2 linked regions of the Lonchura striata genome follow. The protein of the gene in region 2 binds, or shares a complex with, the protein of the main gene of each other region. Links are inferred from orthologs where the notes say so. Each region holds a gene or a part of one and is shown on either strand. Other genes may lie near its edges.

Region 1 (7,687 bases), on a different chromosome or scaffold from region 2:
ATTTACTTTATTTGATCAAAGTATCATTAGAGCTGGTTACTCACTTCAAAGGCCTGTCATCCTGAGATGCATGAGTTTTGGGAGCCTCTGGTCCAATCAAACTATCAGCTTCAGTATTTTCTGCAACAATCAAATAATGAGGAAGATTAATCTTGTATCCATTATTCTTTGTTATCAGAAAGGTTATACAGGTCAGCAACACCTAACAACAAATTCACAAAAAGGACATCAAGAAGTTTCCATCCAAGTTTAAAGTCAGGTGAACTTACTTGATCTCTCTATCCAGAGATCATCCCCTTGAAGCATTTCATCATCGGAATCTTCGCTACTTGAATCACTGGATTCCCTCCTGCTCTTCTTAGATTTCTTTTTCTTATACTTCTTCCTGTGGTAAAGCCAGACAGACATGCTATTTATCAAAATTTAAGATTAAAGAAGGTGCTTGGAATCATACTCAAATAATTAGTTTCTCAAGGCAACTTCCACCTATAGGAAGAATGCTGTCCGCTGTTTCATACAAAACACTTTACACCAAAGCCAAGACAATATATATGTTCTATTTTAACTTTCATAGAGTGTTAGAAAGTGGCTATACAGAAAGTTGTTTATGCTGCACAATTGTGTAGATTTAAATAAAAACTATCAAAATAATATTATTTGCCAGCTCTTGCAAATGACCTAAGGTCCTCAGGCTCCCTGAGGGCCTGCAAAGAAAACTGAGCTGCCCTCCAGGCAACAGCAGCCAAAATGATACAGCAACCACAACACTTACTTTTTGTTCTTCTTTTTCTTCTTCTTGCTTTTCTTTTTATCTTCATCTGAAAAAAGAAAGTGTATGTATTATCAAAAATAAATTATTAATTATAACTAAGTAGTTTACTGCCCTGTGAATAACACGGCATACCTTTTACATCCCCAGTATTCACAGAGCTGTAGGCTCTTTGACTCTCTCAACTCTAGCCCTAAGCCTAACCCCATCACCAGGGGTGGTGGTCAAGATCAGAAAGATGTAGGAGCAGCACAGTTGGGGCTTTGCTGGGATCACCTTGGAATGCCTTTTCCAGTCCCAATGTTCCTGTGACTCGCTCAACCCTAACCCTAAGCCCTAGCCCTAACCCAAACTCAATAATATGGGTTTTCCAGGTCAGAATGATGTAGGAAAAGCAATGTTGGGGCCTTGCTGGGATTGCCTTGGCATGCTTTTTCCAGTCTCAGTACTCCTGGAGCTATAGGCTCTTTCACTCTCTCAGCCCTAAGCTTAACCACTCCCCTAACCCTACTGCTAAGAATTATACTAACCACTACCCCTACCAATTAACCAAACCACTACCCTAAACCTGAGCCTATTCCCAGCACTAACTGCCTCCTCCAGCATGCCCTAGTACACATCCTGATGGGACTTGTTTATACTGGGAAAGTGTTAGGAGAAAGGTCCCTGCAGTACTGGTCGATATGAGAACATATCAAAGAGATCTCTGGCATGAGAGGCCCAGTGGATGCTAAATTCAGAAATCCAATTTCCTGAGGCTACACTGCAAGCTGAGACCCTCTTGTCTTACCACTGGAGTTCTGTTCAGACTCTGAGTCACTGTCGCTGTCCTCAGAATGTTTCCTGCGCTTTCTTTTGGATGCTTTACGTTTTTTCTTTTGTTTTTGCTTCTTCTTTTTCTTCTTTTCCTCTGGAATGTTTTTAAACATAACATTAGAGAACAAAGAACACTTGGTTCCATATGTATTCCCTGATCTTCCCAAAGCAATGCTCTCCTTTGGGCTGGAGCCCACCCCAACCACTCCCACCCATCTAAGCCAGGGAACCTCCTGCAAGCAGCAGCAGATTCTAAGCCACAGTAGCTTCCCATTTTTGAAAAAGCTGTGCAAGCCAGACAAAATACCTTCTGAGCTGGAATCCGAAGAACTACTCTTAGATTTTGCCTCTTCATCTTCTACTGGCGTGTGCTCATCGGAACTGAATAAAATAACAGTTTGCTACTTAAAATCTGTTTTGTTGTACTCAAGATCAAAGGTATACAAATGATCAAAGACATTTTGAATCAATCCCTGCAAAGGAGTAAAATATCAAAGATATTATAAAAATAATTTAGCCTGGGAACTGCTGTCAGAACCACAACACAACAATCACCTGATCTACAATAAATAATGTATTGCATAATTGGTATGTTGGAATTATTTGGTTGAAAAAATAGCAATCTCATTATGCTGCTTCAGAAAGGAAGTGACACAGTAAGTACTGTGGCACCAAGACTAATGCAGGGATAAAGAATTTTTATAAACTGAACTGATATGTAATTAATATTATAAAAAACATGAAGAAAGACTATGCCTTACTCTGGGTCAGGAACTTTTGGTGACAGCCCCCAGACTTCAGGCGCCCCCAGTTCTCCAATTCTCTCTCTCTCATTGAGTCTCCTGTAAAGGAAAACACTGACACTGACGCCTAGTTTGCAACACCCAGCACACAAACATTTTAAGTCTTACGCGTTAGTGTTTCCGAAGCAGCTACAGGAAGGGTAAGAAACAACTCGGAGCAAGGAGCAGGGGCAGGGGCAGTCAGGCAGCAGAGCTCCGCACACCGCAGAGGCTCGGCGGTAGCAGCTGTCACCCCGTTCCAGCCGAGCTCCGTCCCGGCTGCCCCGGGGAACGCACGGGGAGCCCGTGAGGGACCGTACAGAACCGGGCCCGGCCGCGGCACCCGCCCCTCCCGCGCGGAGCGGGGCCCGGCGGGGCAGCCCCGGCCCCTCGCCGGCGCTCACCTCTGCCGCAGGATCTCCTCCTTCTCCTTCTCGTAGTACTCGGGCCATTTGCCGTGGTGGTGGTGCCCGTGGTGCGCGGAAGAGCGCGGCGCGCCGGGGCTGCGGGACCGGCTGCGGCTCCGCCGGTGGCTCGGGCGCCTGGGGCCATTGCGCTCGCGGGAGCGGGAGCGCGAGCGGCGGCCGCGGCGCTCGGAGCCGGCGGCGGGCGGGGAGCGGGAGCGGGACGCGGGCGCCATGGCGGAAGCGGAGGCGCTTCCGGCGCTTCCGGTGCCCTCCCGGCCGGGCGGGAGCGGGGCGGGAGCGGGGCGGGAGCGGGGCGGCCCCGCCCGCGGGGTCACCGCCCCACCCGCCCGGCCGGCAACGCGGCGGCGGCGGCGGCGGCGGCGGCTCCTTTTGTGCCCCGCGGCGGCCGCCCGGCAGCGATGGACGCGCGCACGGCGGCCGAAGGTGAGGCGCGGACGGGGCGCGGGGCGCGGGCGGGGGGCGGTGGCGGCCCGGGCCCGGCTCCGCCCCGCTCCGCGGGCACCGGCGCGGGGCCGCGGCCCCGGGAGCTGTCCAGGGCGGCCCGGGAGCAGCACTGCCCCGCGGACAGCTCAGCGTGCCCCGGCGGGGCTCCCGTTCGTGGCCGGGCCCGGCGCCGCCTGGCACGGCCCGGCCCGGGCGAGGCCCGGCCCCGTGTTCGGGGCCGGCACCTCCCCGCGGCCTGACACGGCGCTGCCGGTGCGGCCGCTCAGGGCAGAACTGACAGCACGGGGGAAACGGCCCCAGCTTGCGTCGGGGCAGCTTTAGGGTGCGTATTAGGATTTTTATTTTCATGGGAAAGGTTATCAAGCACAGGAATAAGCTGCACAGCGAAGTGGTGCAGTCACTGTCCCCGGAAATATTAAAAAACCATGTGGAGATGGCACTTACGGACATGGTGTAATGGTGAACGTGGTGCTGGCGCTGGGTTCAGGTTGGACTTGATGATCTTAAGTCTTTCCCAGCCTTAACCTTTATCCATAAAGATGATACAAATTATATATTCAGATAAGACATCCACTCTTCTGTGAGCGCCCTTCCCCCTCAGGTTTGACCACGTTACCACGGAGCTTTCTTAAATAAACCCCGAGTTTCTGCTCAGCTCTGGAAATGCAGTGCGATATCGCTGGGTCTGGCCAGCTCCGTGTAAACGGGGCATTTTGGACAGCTGCTACACCCTGGGAAGCCCATGCTGGTTTATGCTGTCTAGAAATTATGTCAGGGTATGCCAGTCTCTTTTTCACAAATGGAGCAGTATTTTAGCTCCTAAACCTACCATAAACAGCATTTAAAAAACCCTGTAAGATGGAGGAAGCCTATTTAAACTGTGTATTTATTTGGGTACACGGAACCATGTGCAGTAGAGGGAGGGAAAAGATTTACCAGAAATTCCCACTACTGTCACCTGTGTCTGTGTGAGGACAGCGTATATTCTCCCTTCTTTTGATTATTTCGGCAAACTAATTTTGGATTATTTTAGATCTGATTAAATGATGCCTAAAACATCTGCCTCAGGAGCAATCTGCACTTGTGTTACCTAATACCATTAGGTGACTTGAAGTGCTTTTGTAAACAAGTCATAATGTCATGCGGTACATAACAGCATCTACAACAACTACTAATGTCAATAAAAAGATTACTGGACTCTTAATTCAGATATATGAAGCTTTATATAATGGGATTGGCAGGAGAAATAGTCTCAGAGATTCCTTCAAGGCATAAACAGTGAAAATTTGTATTTTAGAGTCTTTCAGAAGCAGTGATTTTTTATTTGAATTCCCACAGTGAAGAATATTTCTGTCCTTAAAGGTACTCTTAGGTAGGATAACTATTGAATTTCAATTTTTATTGAAAACCCTTAACTGTTCTGCTTATAAAATTTAATTTACTTTAATGTAAAATACTTGTTTTCATGAAGGAGAATGTTACTTTGTCTTTCAAATTTGTCAGTTCTTTAAAAGAATTTTCTATTCTCGCAAAGTGGATTTTTTAAAAACAAAAAAGCTTCTCAAGTTGCTTAATTGAAAACTCGTTACTGAATTACATACTGTTTTGTCGTCTTGTAAAGGCCTGCACATAAATTTCTTTAAATTTGTACTTCATATTTTCAGAGCCTCCACCCCAAAGTTTTTTTGATCACTTCTATACATTAAGATAAAAGTTGCTATTGGGTCTCTTACATTTTCAGTTCCAAGACAACCACATGTAGTTCTATATCCTGGATGTTTCTTATCTTAGATAAAATGGTTCTTTTATATTGTTATTGATATTGTAAGGCTTTATGTGACTTGAACCATCAAACACTTTCGACGCTTATCTGAACATAAAAGTGGAAAGAACAACCCCTAAAATAGGAGATGCATGCTGACAAAAAAAAATGCACACCGAAATTCAGCTTTTAGGTGCAGCAAGATGGTGGCAGCTTCAGTCAAATTGGCTGAGCTGGGGAGAGCATTAACTCTGTCCTGACTGCAGCAGTGTGACCGTGGGGTTCAGATTTTTTATCTGACAGAAGGACTTGCCATAGAGAAAAGCTGCTGTGAGAAAGGTAAAAGTCAAGGAGATGGTGCAGCTCTCCCAGCAGCTTTTAAATCAGGCAGCATTTCAGTGCCTAAGAATAAGTGGTTTAAACCTGATTTTTGAGATCTGGTGATGCCTTAGGAGCAGGAATCCTTCCAAGTGCTCATCTGTGGCTGTAAATTTTCCTGCTAGCTATTTAGTATTGGATGAGGTATTGAGAATAGAAATCCTTAAAGCTGGAGGATGCAAGGCTAAAAAATTGTTTAATTTGGGCCATCACACATTTTTGGAGGAGAAAAAAAGCACTGGATTAAGTATTTAAACAATTATAGTATTATTTTCATTTAATATAGCCTCATGGGTAAAAATTACGAAGAACCTCTATCAAAGGAGAAAAGAATTGAAGGATCATGTGAGGAAGAAAAGCCTATGTTTTTCCTGATGAGTGTTTTCTAATATTTATCCTCATGCAATTGACTCTCTAGTAAAACCTATAAATAAACAGAAACTGGTTTTGTAACATTTAAAATCTGAAGCCTCAATTCAGAAAGGCATTTGTGTTACTAGCTATACAGATACAAGGAGCCTGGCAGGTGATTTTCTTGCTAGAAGAAAGATTATTCTTGCTAGAAGAAATTGTTATTTGTTTCTTGTTCATAAACCTGGCAGGACCATTTCATTGCTGATTTACAAGGTGAAGGATTGCAGTCATGTCTGCCAGTGACTGTGGCCTGTTACGTTTGTCATCGAACTTGACAGGACATTCGTTCTTGTCAAAGTTTTTAAATCTTAAGGAAAATCAGGAGCCCCTGTGGTTCAAGTCCACAGAATGCATAGAGGGGAAAAAAAAGGAACAGACGAGTAACCACAGATAAAAAGTATCTTTTATGATCTCGGTGTTCTTCGAGCATTCCTGAACAGCAACAGCTTCCCAGAGGCCGTGCTGTGGATGTGTCACTCCAGTGGCCACACGGCTAATGTGCCGAGAGTCGCATTTGGTCAAAGGCACTCTGTGCCAAAGCCGTACATGTCCGTGCGGCTGCTGGCAGAGTCTAACACGTGTGCCTGTGGCGCAAAGAATTCCAAAGAAATGCTCCCGCAGCAGCAGCAAGGGTGCTCAGGTGTGGGTTTGAGCTCCGCTCGGTGCTGGGCGGAGGTGCCGGCTGCGTCAGCGTTGGCAGAGCAGCGCCAATGGCCCCGGGAAGGAAACGAGACCCAGCGGCAAACAGCGTCCGCACGGCCTCATCCCGCGCTCGGCCGTGAGGCAGCGCCGGGGCTCGCTGCCGCCTCCGCCCGGGAACGGAGCGCGGGGAGCCGGCCGGGAGCTGCCAGGGCCGCAGCAGGGCCGGCCTGCGCCGAGGCAGGGTCAGGGCCTCGCTCCTCGGGGCGCGACGCGGGCGGTGTGTCCGAGCCGCGGCCCCGGGGCCGCCGGCGGCGCGGGGCGGGGCGGGGCGGCGCGGCGGGAGCGGCCCGGCCCCGCCCCGGCGAAGGTTCCCGAGGCCGCTCGGGTCAGAGCCGAGGGCAGCGCCGGCAGCGCCCCCCGGCGGCGGCGCGGCGCGGCGGGCGCGGGGCCGGAGCGCGGCGCAGGTAACGCGGGGAGCGCGGGCTCGGCGGCTCGGCTGCCCTCCCGCCCGGCCGGGGGCTCGGCACGGCTCCGCCGGCGGCGGCGGCGGCGGGGCCGCCCGCCAGCCCGGGCCCGGTGCTGCCAGGCCGCTCCCGGGCCCGCCGCTGTCAGCGCGCCGCTCCCGCTCGGCCTCCGGCCGCGGACCGGCCGCTGCTGCCTCGGCGGCCCCGCCCGCAGCGCGGTTCTCACGGCCGGGCCCGGGGTCGGGGGGAGCCGGCCAGGACGCGCCCCCGGGCTGGGACTCATCCGGCCGCGACTCCGGCCGCGGCGTCTCATCCGGCCCGGCCCGGCCCGGCCCGGCCTGGCCTGCGGAAATAAGTTTTACGGGTAAAATTAGAGCCCGTGACTCGCTGTACTGCATTTGGATGTTGCTTTTTTCCGGTTATTGGGGGGCTTTGAATGGGCAGTGCTGACGGATAGGTTACTTTGACTTAGCAGGTCTGCTTCGCTACGGTGCTGCTTCCGAGTCTCGGTTTGAAATACAAAGCCTTGCAAATATGTGACATGGGGTTAAAAAAAGTTTATTTTTCTGGGGAAGTAAGTGCACTATCCATAGCGTTTTCATTAACTCAGTTGATTGGTAATACGTCGACACACAGATTCTGGTGTCTGGCCATAAATAACTTCATGATATTTGGCTTTCTCATAACAACCTATGGAATATTTCACAATTAAAAATAAATTACTAATAATGTTTAAAGCTGTTTTTGGGACCCAAAACTTACATTTTCTTGGTTTTATAATTAAACTT
Region 2 (6,881 bases):
GCCCCACACCAAGGCAGGGAGGTGCAGCTGTGGCTGGGGCCTGCCTGCTCATGGCTCATCCAGTCTGGGCTCTGCATCCTCTGTCCCTCCTGACCCCATCCCCGCTCCTCTGCCATCCTGTGTGACCCCACCAGCCGAGGCAGTGGGTCTGAGACACAGGACAATCTGACTGGAGCTCTGGGATAGGCAGCTGCCTTCTTTCTGCCTGCTCACCTCATCCAGCAGCACCAGCTGGAGGAGGAGGTTACATGGTCCAGAACGTGGCACGGTGCTGGTGAGTCCCCTCTGCCTGCCCGGGGCACTGCTTGGGCACTTCTGTGGGAGTTGTCCCTGCATTTCCCATGTCCTGAGCTCCTCTCTTCCCGTGTTTTCAGGACTTATGAAACGTCCTTGCTCGTGGATGAACCAATTAGTGATGAGCTCCCATACAGTGGTAAGTTGGAGTTGCCTTTTTTCCTCATGAACTCAGCTGAAATTTTTGGCATGTTTTATTCTGCATTGACCAGGGCCAACATATCAGCACTTCTTGACCTTGGAGATGGCCTTAGCCATGCCTGGAAGTGTCCAAGGCCAGGTTGGATGGGGTTTGGTCTAGTGGAAGGTGTCCCTGCCCATGACAATGGGTTGGAATGAGATGAGATTTAAGGTCCTTTCCAATCCAAACCATCCCTTGCCCTTCCTTCCCAGGTCCCCCCCTTGGGGCTTCCCTGAATCCTGGAAGTCCTTGGAGGCTTTACTCCCTCTCTAGGCATTGCCTGGAAACACTGAAATTTTAAGCTTTGGAGGCTTGGGAGGAAGGGGACAGAGTGGCTGAGGAGAAGCTGGTGGGACAGTGCTGTCACCTGTCACCCTGTCCCTCAGCTGGCCCCAGCCCCAGTGAAATTCCACATTACCTCTTGTCTGCTCTTTTCCCGCACCTCTTCCGCAGCCGTTGGAGCAAATGTCACCCCACAAACAATGTGACCACGTCCTTTTGGGGGATCAGCTACTCTGGCCCCGCTGCTTGTCCATGTGGCAGCTAAACGGGCTGGAGTGCCCAGATCCAGGCTCATCTTGGGATCTTCACTTCAGTGCTCAGCCCAAAAATTGTCCTGACGTCTGCAAAGCTGCTCCATGCCATCGTGTCAAACATGTCCCTGAATCCTCAGCCTTGCTCCAGCTTTCCAAACATGCCCAGCAGCTAATGGCCGTTAAACCACAGCCTGCTTCTGCTCTCTGAGCACAAAGAGCATCTAAAAATATCCCTCTCCAACGCTTCCCTTGCTCTGCTCCAACACCCGTGAAGATGCCCGGAACAGCACCCGGCTTCCAGAAGGAGAGCTCAGGCAGCAGAGTGATCCCAGCTGGAAGCAGGGCCGTGTCTCTGCTGTCCTCGAGCAGGGATGTGTCTCTGCTCTCCTCAAGCAGGGATGTGTCTCTGCTGTCCTCGAGCAGGGATGTGTCTCTGCTCTCCTCGGGCAGGGATGTGTCTCTGCTCTCCTCGAGCAGGGATGTGTCTCTGCTCTCTCACCCCGTCCCCAGGCGGGCACTGGGACGTGCTCCCCGGTGGCTCCGTGTCCCCAGCCAGGCGTTATCTGGTGGCAGCAGCTGGTGGAGCAGGGACAGGACAGTCGTCATGGGGAGCACCGTCAGAGCTTTGGGAGCTCCCAGCTCAGCCGTGCTGCTCAGCACGTTGAAATCCGGGTGATTTCCTGCAGCAATGTATCTGAACTGAGGCCTCAGCGTGCACCGGCCACCCAGCTTGTAACTGTTCTCACCAGAGTTTTCTCAGAACCCGCCAGAATCCATCAAGCTTACTAAGACAGAAACTGTGCTAAATAAGAAAGAAGAAGCTGAGAAACAGAATTCCAAATAACAGCAGCAAAGCACCTGGACTGTGATCAGTCCCAGATTCTGAGAGGTGCAGGCAGAACACGTGGACAAGACAAAAGAACCGATAAGAAATGTGTGACCAGTGTGTGCAGTGGAGTTAGAATATATAAATAAGTGCATAATAGAAACAACAAACAGCTTCTGCTTAATCACACTGGTCAGTTGTCCAGGAGTGCTGAATTTCCCACGCTGGGTGCTGGGCTCGGTGCCAGGTGCTCTCTCTGAGTGTCCCCAGGTACAGCTGTGCCCTGCGGGGTCACAGCGAGAGGTCCTGGGTCTCCTCTGGAAGTGTCCTGCCCCTGGCAGGGGATTGGAATGAAATGATCCTTAAGGTCCCTTCCAATCCTATCCCCTAAACCATCCTGTGATCCTTGCCCCATGCTGGAGCTGGGATCCTGAAAGGAAACCAGCCAAGGAGCGATGTGGAGGGAGCAGTGTCCCCGCAGGGGGGGCAGAGGCAGCCAGAGCTATCCTTCAGTGACCCCACCACTCCATCCCACCCTGACTCCTGCAGCCAGCACAGCCCCAGAACCCCCGGCCATCCCGCCATGCCCCATCCCATACAGGCGGGCAGCTCCTCTTGCTGCTTCCAAGGGGTTGCCATCCCCTGGAAATCCCAGCCTGGCATCCACTGAGATGCCAGGGAATGCCCTGGTGCCCATCCTCAGGCAGCTCTGGGGGTCCTGCCCGTCTCTGAGACCCGCTGGGTTGAGGAGCCTGTCTCCAGCACAGCTTCCCTCATCCCAAACTGCAGGAAGCCTCAGGCAGGAGGCTGGCAGGACCAAGCATGGATTTTGCCTTGGATTTCCAAGCCTTTGAACAAGGCTTCATGCTCTGTCTGTCCTTCCTCCTCTCCAGCCCCCATGGAGCAGGTTTGTGCTGCCGTTCCCAGCCAGCCCTGCTCACGCCATGCTCCTGTTTCCATCCTTTGTCAGCTCCAGCTTTCCCCATTCTGCTTCCTCCTGACATCCAGCAATTTCCCACCCAGCTTTTGTCCTTCTCCTGCCTGGCGCTGCCTCCAAAGGGTTCTTGCCAAAGGTCTGGAGAGCCTGCACCCCCCAGGGTGGCACCTGGTGACAGCTGGCAGGAGCAGGTCCCCATCCTTCAGGGACTGGAATGGAACGAGTCCCATCAGGGCGTGAGTGTCCCATGGAAACCCCCCTGCCCATCCCCTGTGCCCCGGGAGTGGGGACTGGGGTGAAAGGGGGGCCTGGGAATGACTGGGAGTGACTGGGAGTGACTGGGGGCCAGCTGTGGGCCTGGAGAAAAGAATCCTGTGGGCAACTGGGATCTGCCAGGGGTAACTGGGAGCAGCTAGCAGTAACTGGGATCTGCCTGGGGGGTAACTGGGAGCACTGGCAGTAACTGGGATCTGCCGGGGGGTAACTGGGAGCACTGGCAGTAACTGGGATCTGCCAGGGGTAACTGGGAGCAGCTAGCAGTAACTGGGATCTGCCGGGGAGGTAACTGGGAGCAGCTAGCAGTAACTGGGATCTGCCGGGAGGGTAATTGGGAGCACTGGCAGTAACTGGGATGTGCTGGGGGGGTAACTGGGAGCAGCTAGCAGTAACTGGGATCTGCCGGGGGGGGGTAACTGGGAGCACTGGCAGTAACCGTGATCTGCTGGGGGGGGTAACTGGGAGCACTTGCCAGTAACTGAGGGTAACTGGCAGTAGGAGAGGGGCATGAGGGATAACGGTGGGAGCTGAGGATGAGCAGGGAGATGACACGGGGTTACCGGAGAGAGCCCAGCCGGTAACTGGGACAAGCGGGGGCAGGCGCGGGGCAGGCAGGCGAGCCTGCGATGTGTCCTGCGGGCAGCTGGGCCGATGGGGGCGGTGTGCGGGCGGCAGGGAGCAGCGGGGCCAGCCCGGGGCGCTGGCGGTGACCAGGACCGGTCGGGCGGAGCGGCGGCGGCACCGGGGCCGCGGCGGCCACGCCCCGGTGAGGCCATGCCCCTTGTGGGCGTGTCCCTGTAGTGGCCCCGCCCCATCCCCGGGCGGCTGTCGCGGGGAGATGACGTAAGCAGGAGCGCGGCGCGCGGCGCGGCCTGTCCGCCATGGCGAAGACCGTGGCCTATTTCTACGACCCGGACGTGGGGAACTTCCACTACGGTGCGAGTGGGGCCGGGGCAGCGCCGGGGCGGAGCGGCGGAGCGGCCGCCGCGCGGCTGGGGCTGGGCGGAGCCGGCTGGAGGCGGGGGTGTGGCGCGGCCCGGTCGCCGCTGTCCCTCAGCGCCACTGTCTCCCAGCCCCTCAGCCCCGCTGTCCCCCAGCCCCGCTGTCCCCCAGCCCCGCTGTCCCCCAGCCCCGCTGTGCCCCAGCCCCGCTGTGCCCCAGCCCCGCTCCCCTCTCCCCCCAACCGGACCTGTGCGCAGCGCGGTGCCGGTGCCCGGCGGCGGCGGGGCCGTTGTGGCGCCGCTGATCCCGCGCGGTTCCGTTGCAGGCGCGGGGCACCCCATGAAGCCGCACCGCCTGGCGCTCACGCACAGCCTGGTGCTGCACTACGGCCTCTACAAGAAAATGATCGTAAGCCACGCGTGTCCCAACCGGGCGGGGTGGGGGCGGCGGGGCACCAAGGAGGGCTCCACACCGAGCCCCCGGGGCTGCTTGGGGCCCCACGGGTGGGTGACAGGTTCAGCGATGTTGTAGAGATTTGGGGGGTATCACGGGTGGGTGATGTGATCACTGATGTTGTAGAGATTTGGATCCTCACGGGTGGATGATGTGTTCACTGATGTTGCAGAAGTTTGGATCCCCACGGGTGGGTGATGTAGAGATTTTGGGCCCCACGGGTGGGTGACGTGTTCACTGATGTTGCAGAGGTTTGGATCCCCACGGGTGGGTGATGTGTGATTTATTTAAAAAATATGGATATTGATCTAGCACAGATATCCAACTGTGACGGATAAAATCTCTCTAACAGTTTAAAGTTAGAAAATGTGTGTTTATTCAATGCCGGGCAGCATGAGGGATTGCTCCCAAATCCACACCTCCCCTTCCAAGTGATTACAGAGCCCTGTTATCCATACAAGTATTGAATACCCAAAATACAAATACATGTTCATCATGTCAGTACATCCCATTCCTCACTTCCTATGCTAATAATTTCAAAAGCCATTCAGCATGCCTACTTTGTCCCTTGAAATGGGTCGGTGTCCCTTTCATGGGGAGGGGTCCCAAAATGAGGAAGTCAATGAAGTCTTCCTCATTGTGACCTTTCTACCTTTTCAATGCAAATATGACAAATGAACTGTTGGTAGAACTCCCATTCCTTGTCTTCAGTTAGTTTTGGAACAGAGGAGGCCCACAATTGTCTTATGTTCCTAAAAGCTCTTTGTCAGTTTGTGTATTCTTCATTATAAACCCAGCTAACTAAACATTGTGCTGACAAACAATCAATTATTAGTTAACTACTAACTCCTAACTTCATCAAGGCCTACTCATTTATTTTATTTATTTTAATTAACTCTAGTAAGGCTTATCTCTAACTCAAATCTTAGCTCCTCTAAAATCTCTAAATTCGTTAAAATTTACGTTTCATGTGTTCAGTGATGTTGCAGAGCTTTGGGCCCCACGGGTGGGTGACAGCTTCACGATGGTTTTACACCTCAGTCCTGTGCTGTTGGTGCAGCTGTAGAGGATTCCAAGGAGCTGCTGAGGTCAGGCATCTGTAGAGATGCAATCTATGAAAACAATTTTAGGTGTTTAGACATGACAAAAATTTCCTTAATTAATACAATTCCCAAATAAAACCACATCCAGGGCAGTGACTGTGTGGAAATGCAGCACTTGGAAAGACTGTGGGGAGTCTTCGCAAAGTTTCTTTTCTAGATCTGTACTGTCACTGTGTGGATTTCCACAAGTAACTTCCCCAGAGTTTTTTTAATTATTATTATTTCCACAAGAAACTTCCCCAGGCTTTTCCTTGCAGGAACAACCAAAAAACATGTTCTGACCTAACACTTTTAAATGGCAAATCCCTTCCTGAAGGAGGCAGTGGGCAGAGCTCTTTTACATTTTCAGTCTTGAAATTCTTTTTCTGAGGGGTTTTGTTTTCCACAAGCTGCACTGGGAAGCTGAAAACTTCATCCCCAAACAGTCAGGGACTGGCAAAGTCAGGAGCAAATAAAAGCAGGGGTTTGGAGCATTGGGACTGGGAAATTCCTGCTGATTTTGTGCTGTGGTTGCATTGTTTCTGCCTCCTTACAACCAAAGCTTGTGATCCTGTTGGGCTGGGTTTGCCTCTTCCCACCTTCCCCAGCTCGGGAACGTGGCTGGGATTGCTGGGAAGGCTGCAAGGAGCCAGCTTTGTTCTGCCAGCAGCTGGGTGAACATTCCAGCCTGGTTTTCCCCTCCCTTTCTGTTTGATCCCCACATCCCTACTCTGAGAGCCTCTGGCTGCGCAGTGAGAGCCATTTCTCCTCTCCTTGCCATCAGTTTTGGTCTGGTTTGGTTTAATGAACTTCAGGATTCCTGGGGGATCCCTGGGAATAAGGAGTTGCCTCATCCTCTGTTTGAGTTGTCAGAGGCAGCAGACCTCTGAGGAACACCAAATTCCACATGGAAAGCACCAGGAGAGGAGGAGATGGGATTGTTCTGGTTTATTGTGGCTCTGAAAAGGACCAGGTTTTCTGCTCAGCACAGAAAGCAGGAGCATGGTGCAGTTGTCCTGAGGAATTTCCCTTTGGAGACCAGCTCGTGCATCTTCTGTTGTGTTCATGTTCCACTTTTTCTGTCAAGTGCTTGCTTAAAATAAGAGAAATTAAAATAATAAGAGTAATCACAGAAAATCTCTTTTATCAATTGAATTGATAAGAGATGGTGGTGTTAATTTTTAACTTCCCCTCTACTGAGAGATGTGCCCTAAGTGCCAAAACTGTGTTGTCACAAGATCCTGGATTTGAGTCCATCCACCTCCCTGACCATTCCCCCCATTTTTCTTTCCAAAGGAAACAAAACTTATGCAGCTCTTCCATCTGTCTGGGAGGTTTCCCCAAATAATTTGGA

Evidence for each region. Proteins that work in one complex are often made in the same cells at the same time.
Region 1: HDAC3 (region 2) and NKAP share a complex: the UniProt entries of both Homo sapiens proteins name them as parts of the notch corepressor complex. The link is inferred for Lonchura striata from reciprocal best matches to the Homo sapiens genes HDAC3 and NKAP.

The regions. Positions count from the first base shown.
Region 1 is NC_134616.1:9,031,642-9,039,328, forward strand, and holds the start of NKAP (NF-kappa-B-activating protein), read right to left. Parts: upstream 3,008-7,687; coding exon 2,772-3,007; intron 2,428-2,771; coding exon 2,347-2,427; intron 1,967-2,346; coding exon 1,893-1,966; intron 1,680-1,892; coding exon 1,560-1,679; intron 819-1,559; coding exon 773-818; intron 386-772; coding exon 270-385; intron 121-269; coding exon 45-120; intron 1-44. Other genes in the region: ZBTB33 (transcriptional regulator Kaiso), read left to right, coding at 3,194-3,218. UniProt on the Homo sapiens protein: Acts as a transcriptional repressor. Plays a role as a transcriptional corepressor of the Notch-mediated signaling required for T-cell development. Also involved in the TNF and IL-1 induced NF-kappa-B activation.
Region 2 is NC_134617.1:15,751,948-15,758,828, reverse strand, and holds the start of HDAC3 (histone deacetylase 3), read left to right. Parts: upstream 1-3,865; 5' UTR 3,866-3,931; coding exon 3,932-3,986; intron 3,987-4,239; exon of another isoform or gene 4,240-4,274; intron 4,275-4,317; coding exon 4,318-4,400; intron 4,401-6,881. UniProt on the Homo sapiens protein: Histone deacetylase that catalyzes the deacetylation of lysine residues on the N-terminal part of the core histones (H2A, H2B, H3 and H4), and some other non-histone substrates.